Tamandua tetradactyla: one gene and its partner. The protein of the gene in region 2 purifies or fractionates together with the protein of the main gene of each other region. This does not show direct contact. Links are inferred from orthologs where the notes say so. Each region holds a gene or a part of one and is shown on either strand. Other genes may lie near its edges.

Evidence for each region.
Region 1: the proteins of DTX3 (region 2) and RNF114 purify together in Homo sapiens (affinity purification with mass spectrometry; 3 studies listed by BioGRID and IntAct, counting the BioPlex papers as one, with this or other methods). This does not show direct contact. The link is inferred for Tamandua tetradactyla from reciprocal best matches to the Homo sapiens genes DTX3 and RNF114.

What each region holds. Positions count from the first base shown.
Region 1 is NC_135327.1:2,776,011-2,779,916, forward strand, and holds the start of RNF114 (E3 ubiquitin-protein ligase RNF114), read right to left. Parts: upstream 2,457-3,906; 5' UTR 2,423-2,456; coding exon 2,277-2,422; intron 1,820-2,276; exon of another isoform or gene 1,717-1,819; coding exon of another isoform or gene 1,697-1,716; intron 1,687-1,696; exon of another isoform or gene 1,462-1,686; coding exon of another isoform or gene 1,394-1,461; intron 1-1,393. UniProt on the Homo sapiens protein: E3 ubiquitin-protein ligase that promotes the ubiquitination of various substrates. In turn, participates in the regulation of many biological processes including cell cycle, apoptosis, osteoclastogenesis as well as innate or adaptive immunity.
Region 2 is NC_135333.1:124,890,665-124,894,570, reverse strand, and holds the start of DTX3 (putative E3 ubiquitin-protein ligase DTX3), read right to left. Parts: upstream 2,426-3,906; 5' UTR 2,067-2,425; intron 1,160-2,066; 5' UTR 1,106-1,159; intron 719-1,105; 5' UTR 651-718; intron 448-650; 5' UTR 373-447; coding exon 372-372; intron 30-371; coding exon 1-29. UniProt on the Homo sapiens protein: Regulator of Notch signaling, a signaling pathway involved in cell-cell communications that regulates a broad spectrum of cell-fate determinations.

The DNA of each region.
Region 1 (3,906 bases), on a different chromosome or scaffold from region 2:
TGCCTCTTCTCAAAGGCGCTTGGGGTTACCAGAGTAACCCAAGAGAGCACATAGGGGCCCCGGGGACACAATGACCCCAACCGCAGCAAGGAGAAACCAAGCAGCCCAAGTCTCCGGGCAAGCCTACACTGAAGCATTGCTCGTCCATCAAGTGCTCACAAGCCGCTCTGCGCCTGAGTAATGGCCAATCAACAAAGCTGCGTTCAGGCAGTCCCTGCATCTTGGGCTGGCTTTCAGTTTCTATATCCGATTCATGGGCCTTTCTCAAATTCAGCCCATTGGATGCTCCACCCTTTCTGTCCTGGTGTTCTTTCGAAACTCCCTCCCCTTGGGCACCCAGCCACCTGCCCCTCCCCAACTACATTCCACTACACTGGAGAAGGATATAGTCATTCAGGGCTTGAAATAAAGTTTTATAAAAATCTAATGCCCCAGACAGAGCTGCAGGGATGCGTAAGTTTTCAAGCACAGAAGTTAACACAAAAGAACTAGGAAGACAAGCAGCAGTTGGCTGCAGCTGGGTGAGAGTTCTGCTGGCCTCACAGAGGTGCTTCCATCTGTCCTCAATCAGCATTCGAATGGTCAATAATGCCCTTTAACCTCTGACCTGGGAAAAGTTCAGTTACTTCAAGGAAATTTCAAATTCTGCTGCTTTTCAGTTGGTAAACTGTGCTGGGTCGCGCCTCTTTACAAATGTTAACATTAAATGAGATCCAGCAATTAATCCAAATTTTGGTAAACTTCAATCTAAAGAGAAGAGGACCCACTGAGAAAGCTACCTGAACTCTGTTTCAACTCTCTTGAAACTTGTTTCCATCATTAACTTTTTAGTTAATTCACTTATTTCCCGATCACCCCTCACATGCACGTTTGTCCCTTGTTGTACTCTCCAAATATATGACTTCAACATTTGTTAACACTTATTTACAATCAGTTCACGGGACCGTCAATTCTGAAGGCAAAATCACCTAGTTTACAGTCAGCTGAACAGAAGATTGGAAGACGGTCAAACATTGTGCTGGACACTGATATATGGGGAGGGGCAAAACAGATATGGTAACCCTAAATTTTGCTCAGTGCAAGGGAGGAAGCCCCAGGGGAGAAGGTGAGGTGGGAGTAATTTGGATGGGATGGGATGAGGGAGGTATAATTTAAATTGGGACTGAAGGCTGAGAAGGAAGGAGGGAGGGGGTATACAGACAGGGTAGGAGAGTTCCCGGCCAAATGAAGCCCAAGTAGCTACAGCCCAAAGCTGAAAACAGTTGAGTGGTCTAGAAGTGAGCGGTGGCCAGTGTGGCTAGCGAGTCCTTGCCAGGTGCCAAGCACTGCTCTCTGGTCTGGAAAACAGATGCCTGCAGTTCAGTCGGGAAGATTTAAGCAGTGGTCCCCTCACCTGTACAACTGCCGCCAACCCTGCTCCTCCCTTGAAGGACTGCTATAGGAATAAGCAAGAACGGCCATGACGCCCAGCAGACCCCCAGGGGTCTGCTGGGCCCAGAGGCTCGTGAAACGTTCCCAAGTTCAATGCCCGCGATAAGCGTTAAGGGAGGCCAAGGAGGAAATGCCAACTCTCCACGGCAAGAAGCGGGTGGCTCGGGGTTCTACAACTCTTTCAGCTTAGGCGCGTTGGTCTGCCTGCGGAACGAGGCTCAGACGCAAAACCAGCCCCCTCCAAGGACTCAGTGGACATCCTCACATATATCTCCTTGGCGTCATAACCAGCCTGTTAACACACGCAGGGCATAGGGGCCTAATCTAAAAGCGAAGGGAGCGAGCCCCGTACGCCTGGAGAAAGGCCCGCCACGCCCAACTGCCGCTCCCCAGCCGCCGGAGAAACCGCAGACCGGCTGGACGCGCAGACTTCCCCCTCTTTCAGTCTAGGTCAGCGTTTCTCCAACCTCGCCGCACACGAGAACTGACTCGGCAGAGCTGGCTGCGCGGCGCCGGAGGAGCTCCATGTTCTGGAGGAGACCAGACGAGGCCGTCCCTTCCGGCTCTTGCGGGTGGAGCCGACAACCGCCGGCGGCAGGCGCGCGGCTCCACTGACAGCAGGTGCGCGGCCGACCGAGAGGGCCGCCCCCGAGGCAGGCGAGGGCCGGGAACCTGGGGTGAGCAGGCGGGAGGTAAAAGCGTCCCGCCGACCCCCGCGACCCCGGAGGTCTTGGCTGGGGGCCTCGGCCGGCGCTCCCGCCGCGGAGCACTTCCCGGGCGGGCCTCACCCTGGTATCCCTGCCCCCCGGTCAGGCGCCCCCTCCCAGGCCCGGCCCGTCGCTTACACGTGTCCGCAGGGCACCTGCACCGGCTTCTCGAACACCTCCAGGCACACGGGACAGGTGAAGCGGCCCAGAGGGTCGGCCTCCGCCGCCGCCGCGGGCCCCGCCAGCTGCGCACGGCCCTCACGGTCCTGCTGCTGCGCCGCCATCTTGCTGCAGCTGAGCGCCCGCAACGGCGGCTGAGAGGGAGGAGCCCGAGGGGGCGGGGTCGAAGCCGCGGCCGAGCCAGCGCGCGGGGAGCGGAGCGCAAAGCCCGCTAGCGCGGGGGGCGGGGCCGGCGCGGGGCGGGGCCGCGGCCGAGCGAGCTCTCGCCGAGCGGAGCTCAAAGCCCGCCGGGGCGCGGGACCGCGGCCGAGTCAGAGAGCGGGGAGCGGAGCGCAAAGCCCGCTAGCGCGGGGGGCGGGACCGGCGCGGGGGCGGGGCCGCGGCCGAGTCAGAGCCCGGGGAGCGGAGCGCACAGCCCGCTAGCGCGGGGGCGGGGCCGGCGGCGGGCCCCGCCCCACGGCCCCTCCGAGTGGTGGGAGGGAGAAGTCGAGGGCAATCTGGAAAATGTGGACACCAGATCCATAGGCTGCCAGAACTGGGATGGGCTTTGTGCTTCAGTCACTGTTTTCCAAATTTATATTGTTCTGTGCCATCTTTTTTTTTTTTCTCCGTGTAACTTTTTATTTTAAAAAATTTCAAGCCTTCAGAAAAGTTACAAAAATGTACAACGAACAGCCATATACCCTTCACCTAGACTCACCAGTTGCTAATATTTGGCTACATTTATGCCTTCTCTCTCTCTCTCTCTCTCTCTCTCTCTCTCTCTCTCTCTCTCTCTCTAGCTCTCTCTCTTCACACACTTTTTTTGCTGAAGCTTTGAATCTTTTGGGACTTATTTACAGACATAATAACCCTTCACCCCAAATACTTCAGCATGTATTTCCTAAGAACAAAGACATTCTCCTTCATAAACACAGTACAATTGTCATACTCATGAAATTTCACACTTGACATAATTCTATTATCTAATATATAGTCTACGTTAAAATTTCCCCACTTCTCAGTAATGCCCATTATAACTGAGTCCCCCAACCCCATTCCAGGATCTTAGGGAGCAATTGATATTAGGTTGTCTTTTTAGACTCCTTCTATCTAAAAGAATGTCTTAGCTTTTTTTTATTACATTACACATAACTTTATTATAGTGGTAGAACTACATTTCATTTTTTTTACATAATTTTTTTGAAACATAACATACAAACACATTCTTACCATATGATCATTCCATTCTTGGTATATAATCAATAACTCACAATATCATCACATAGTTATATATTCATCACCATGATCATTTCTTAGAACATTTGCATCAATTCAGAAAAAGAAATAAAAAGAAAAAAACTCATACATTCCATACCCCTCCCTCTCATTGACTGCTAGTATTTCGATCTACCCAATTTAGCCTTTGTTTTCCCTATTTTTTTCTATACCCCTGACCAGTCCCTTTCATTGATTGCTAGCATTTCAATCTACTAAATTTATTTTTCCCCCTATTATTTATTTTTAATCCATGTTTTACTCATCTGTCCATACCATAGATAAAAGGAGCATCAGACACAAGGTTTTCACAATCACTCAGTCACATTGT
Region 2 (3,906 bases):
GGCTGCCATTCTGGACAGGACGAACGACACTGCCCCAAAGGTGAAGGGGACTCAGGGCGGGGAAATCCCTTTTGACAAATATCACTGTCTCCCTTCAGGTTCCTTCCAAACCCTGTATTACCTCTATTCTCTCAAAAATCCACCCCTCCCCCCAAATTCATTTTCTGTCCTCCCAGAGCTTCCAAACCCCAGCACCCCCTAAAGAGCTCAAAAGCTCCTATAACTTTTATTATCCACTAAGCCCAGCAATCAGTCTTGGTTCTCCTTACACTTCTCCCAGACCACAGAAACAATCTGCTCCCTCCCCACTCTGGGTGAATAATGGGCTCTTTAAAGGGGAGGGAAGCTTTTTGACCCTCCTTTTCGCTCACTTTGATCCTGAAGAGCTTAGAATTGGCATGCAGGCTCTCTCTCGCTTTTCCTCTCCCTACTTGTGGGTTGTAGGACCTAATGGGGTGAAAAGAAAAAGGAGGAAAATTAGGAAACCCCCAGTCACCACATATCCCAACCCGGCAGCCGTGTAACAAAGAGATGGGGGCCTGGAGTGGATTACTGGCAATGGGATTACCTTGGACATGGAATGGAGGGAACCGAGTTAAGGGTGAAAGTTGAAGTTTCCTGTAGGGGTAGGTAGGGGGTAGCGGAGGTACCTGGAAAGCCCATGGACAATGATGACAGCAGAAATCCCTCTGTTTCCACCACACTCAGCTGACCAGGACTAGGAGAAGTTAAAGTGTTATGATGACAATCGTTACCATTTTTTTCCCCAGCCAGTCCAGAAATAAAATAAAAACTCCTGTTCCATTTCCTCTCCCTCACTCCTGTAGACTCTCATCCCCAGGCTCTCCCCAAGTTGTTCAAGAAGGAACTTCAACATGCTAACCTTCCCACCCCCCACCTCTCCAGCTCTGAGACCCTCAAGAAAGCCTGGGGCACAGATGAAAAGTCAGGAAGGGAAAAGCCTACATAGGTGGAGGTCTTTCTTGCCACCTCCCTCAGATTACATGGATGGGAATATTTTCTATGCTCCTCCAACTCTATGCCCTACTCCACGTTCCCAAATAATTCAGCCCCTACTGCTAGGGAGCCTTCGTTGTGCGCTAACCTCAGTCCCTTCTCTTCCAGTCTGTTAGGAATGCAAACAAAGTGGCAGCGGCCCCTGCAATAACAAAGTTCTCACTGTCACCTTTTAAAACCAGCACAGCCTGTTAGCGCCCTCATCTGCATTCAGGGAGGGGTTGGGCTCACACAGGGTGCTCAGCTGAAGGGCCCTGATGTTTCCCCCAAGTCTTGTCACGTTCAGGTATAGAGCTATACCCACAACACCTCCAAGTACAGCTCATATGGAAAGAGGGGCCATTAGTGTGACCTCAATTCCTTGACTGATTCAAAGGGGAGCAGCTGTTGGTTTGTGTCTCCATCATAGTCCTCTCAAGACTGGAGTCACCTCAAGATTCACCAAGTGAAGCTGGAACCCTAGGGCCTCCGCCCCCAGTGTCTTTCCCGGGTGGAATCTCCTCTCACCCTACTCCCCCAACCCCCAGTCAGAGGAGACCTAGGACCTAGGTGTCCTAGCTGCAAGTCCTGCTGGCATAGAAAAGGGAGGAGGTGCCACGGTTTGTGCTGGGTCTGTGATTCCTCTGGGGCAACCCAGGCCGGACGCCGGCTAAGCCCTCCTTCCAGATGATGGCCTGGATTAGGGGAGGCCGGGAAGGGCAAGGGCCCCTGGGGACAGCCACTGAGGCAGCTCCACCCCTCCCCCCACAGCCTTCACCGAGACCCGACCCGGAACCAACCCCCTACATCCCCTTTTCGCCGGACCCTACGGAGCCCTGCCGCTGGGTTGGGGGTGCATGTCCGCGGATCGCGGTTCCCGGAACCCCCAAATGGAAGCCAATGCTGGAGGATGATGTTAAGATGATCGGCCGGGCATGAGTGGGCCCCTAGAGCCATGCAAGGGGGAAGAGGGCCGAGGAGCGGACGCAGAGGGAGCGGGGGCCGCGCGCGGGGCGCGAGCGGGATCCGGGGGTCGCGCGGTGGGTGTGGGGGCCGCCGGGCTCACCTACCTCTCGTCAGCGCCGCCATTGCCGGTCACATGACTGAGGCTGTTGCTGGGATGACGGTCCGGGCCTTAGCAACAAGGGGGGGAGACCCCGAGAGGGGGAGACTTGCAGAGGGTGCAGACTGAGGGGAAGGGAAGGAGGACAGCACCCCCTTACCCCTCACAGGTGATAATCACCGTTTCCTTTGACCCCTTCGGCCCCCGATCCTCTGCCCCTCCTCCCCCAAACAAAAATGGAGGCGCCGTCCCAGTCTTTCTTTGGAGGGAGGGGGGTGGCGTCGAGTAACTGAGGGTAGGAGGTTAAATCCCTTAGAGACGTCGCCGCCACCCTTGTCGCTTCCCCTTTCAGGGAGGAGCCCTCTCCCTTCCCTTTCTCAGCCAGCTGCGTGGCAGCTTCTGGGAGCTGGTAGTGGGTAGGTGGGTGGGGAGTCCCACTTCAGGTATATGGGAATGGGGATGCGGTGGCAATTGTTCTGAAATCCTTATGCCAGAAGGGCCTTTGAGGAACAATGTGGGATGGGAAGAAGAATCATAGTAAAAAGAAAAGCATTGGTTCTAAAAAAAATAAACCCCAGTACTAAACTATTTTCAAGTTCCTGATCTTTTGCCTCTTCCTAGGTTGCTACCGTCTATGATCCCCCCCAACCTGCTCCCATCTGGGTACCGAAAAATGCCTATTTCTCTTTCCACAAATGGGGCTACTGAGGCTGGTGCAGAATGGGAAGTGAAAAAAATATATATATATTATTATTTTTTAATGGCTTGGGGTGGTGTGTCAAGCAAGTCTCTGGTTCAAATAGAGTTAAAAATTCTCAAAGGGAAAAAAAGCTCTGCTCTGCTTCCCACATCAGAGCAGTCTCCGCCTCCAGCCCAACTCACTTCGTGGGGCCACATCAAGCCAGGTTTTTCTACCAACCAAAGGCCTCTTTAGCCAAGAAGTACTGGCAACAACCTCTATTCATCCACCCACTTTCTTCACTGCCCCTCTGGCTAAAGGGCTAGGCATTTTCTCCTTCACTTTCCCAGGACCCTGCTGTATCACTCCTGCGCTCCAGACAGAGGACATCTTTCCCAGGAAGCCTACGGAACACTGGATTCAGCTTCTTTTAGTTAAAAGATGGGACTGTGAGGCCCACTCCCTTTTAGAGTTGAGAGTGTGACCAAGTCCAGAGCCCTGGGAAAGAGGGAGGGTCACATCTTCCCAGTTCTCCCAGGTCCCCACCATTAGCTGAACTCCTGCAAAGATGGAGAATAAGTTGTCCATACCTATACTATTGACACCCCCTACTGTGCCATTCACAGCCTTCTGTCTAGAAACCCACATCCTTAATTGGGAAGCTCAATACACTGAAGACTAGAACTCTTCATTTGGTCTTTGTACCCCCAAGCACATATATCCTCAGAAAAAGGAAAGGAAAAATAAAAAAGGCATTTTTGTGAAGGAATTTTAATTCAATAATTTATTTTCTATATTGTGAAAGCATTGGGAGCAAATACACAAATTTTTTTTTTAATTAAGAAAACAAAAAAGATGAAAAACAGAAGCAACAAATGAAGACCATACTGCCCATAATACATCAGCCACATGGTCAGAAAACCCATTTCTAAAGAACAACGGTTGCTGGTGGCATGGAGTTTTATTGCATTCAACAAGGGAAAGCAATATGATATGCTGATGATTGGAATGATTAAAAAAGACCCATCACACCTCTCTCAGGAAGGTATTTTATATTTTAAGGGTTTCAACCCCTAATGGGATTTCTTTTTCCTCCTTTGGAGAAGATGGAGGGGAGAGGATTCTCCCTTATGACTTCATGACTTCTCGTGAGACAGATCAGTCCAGC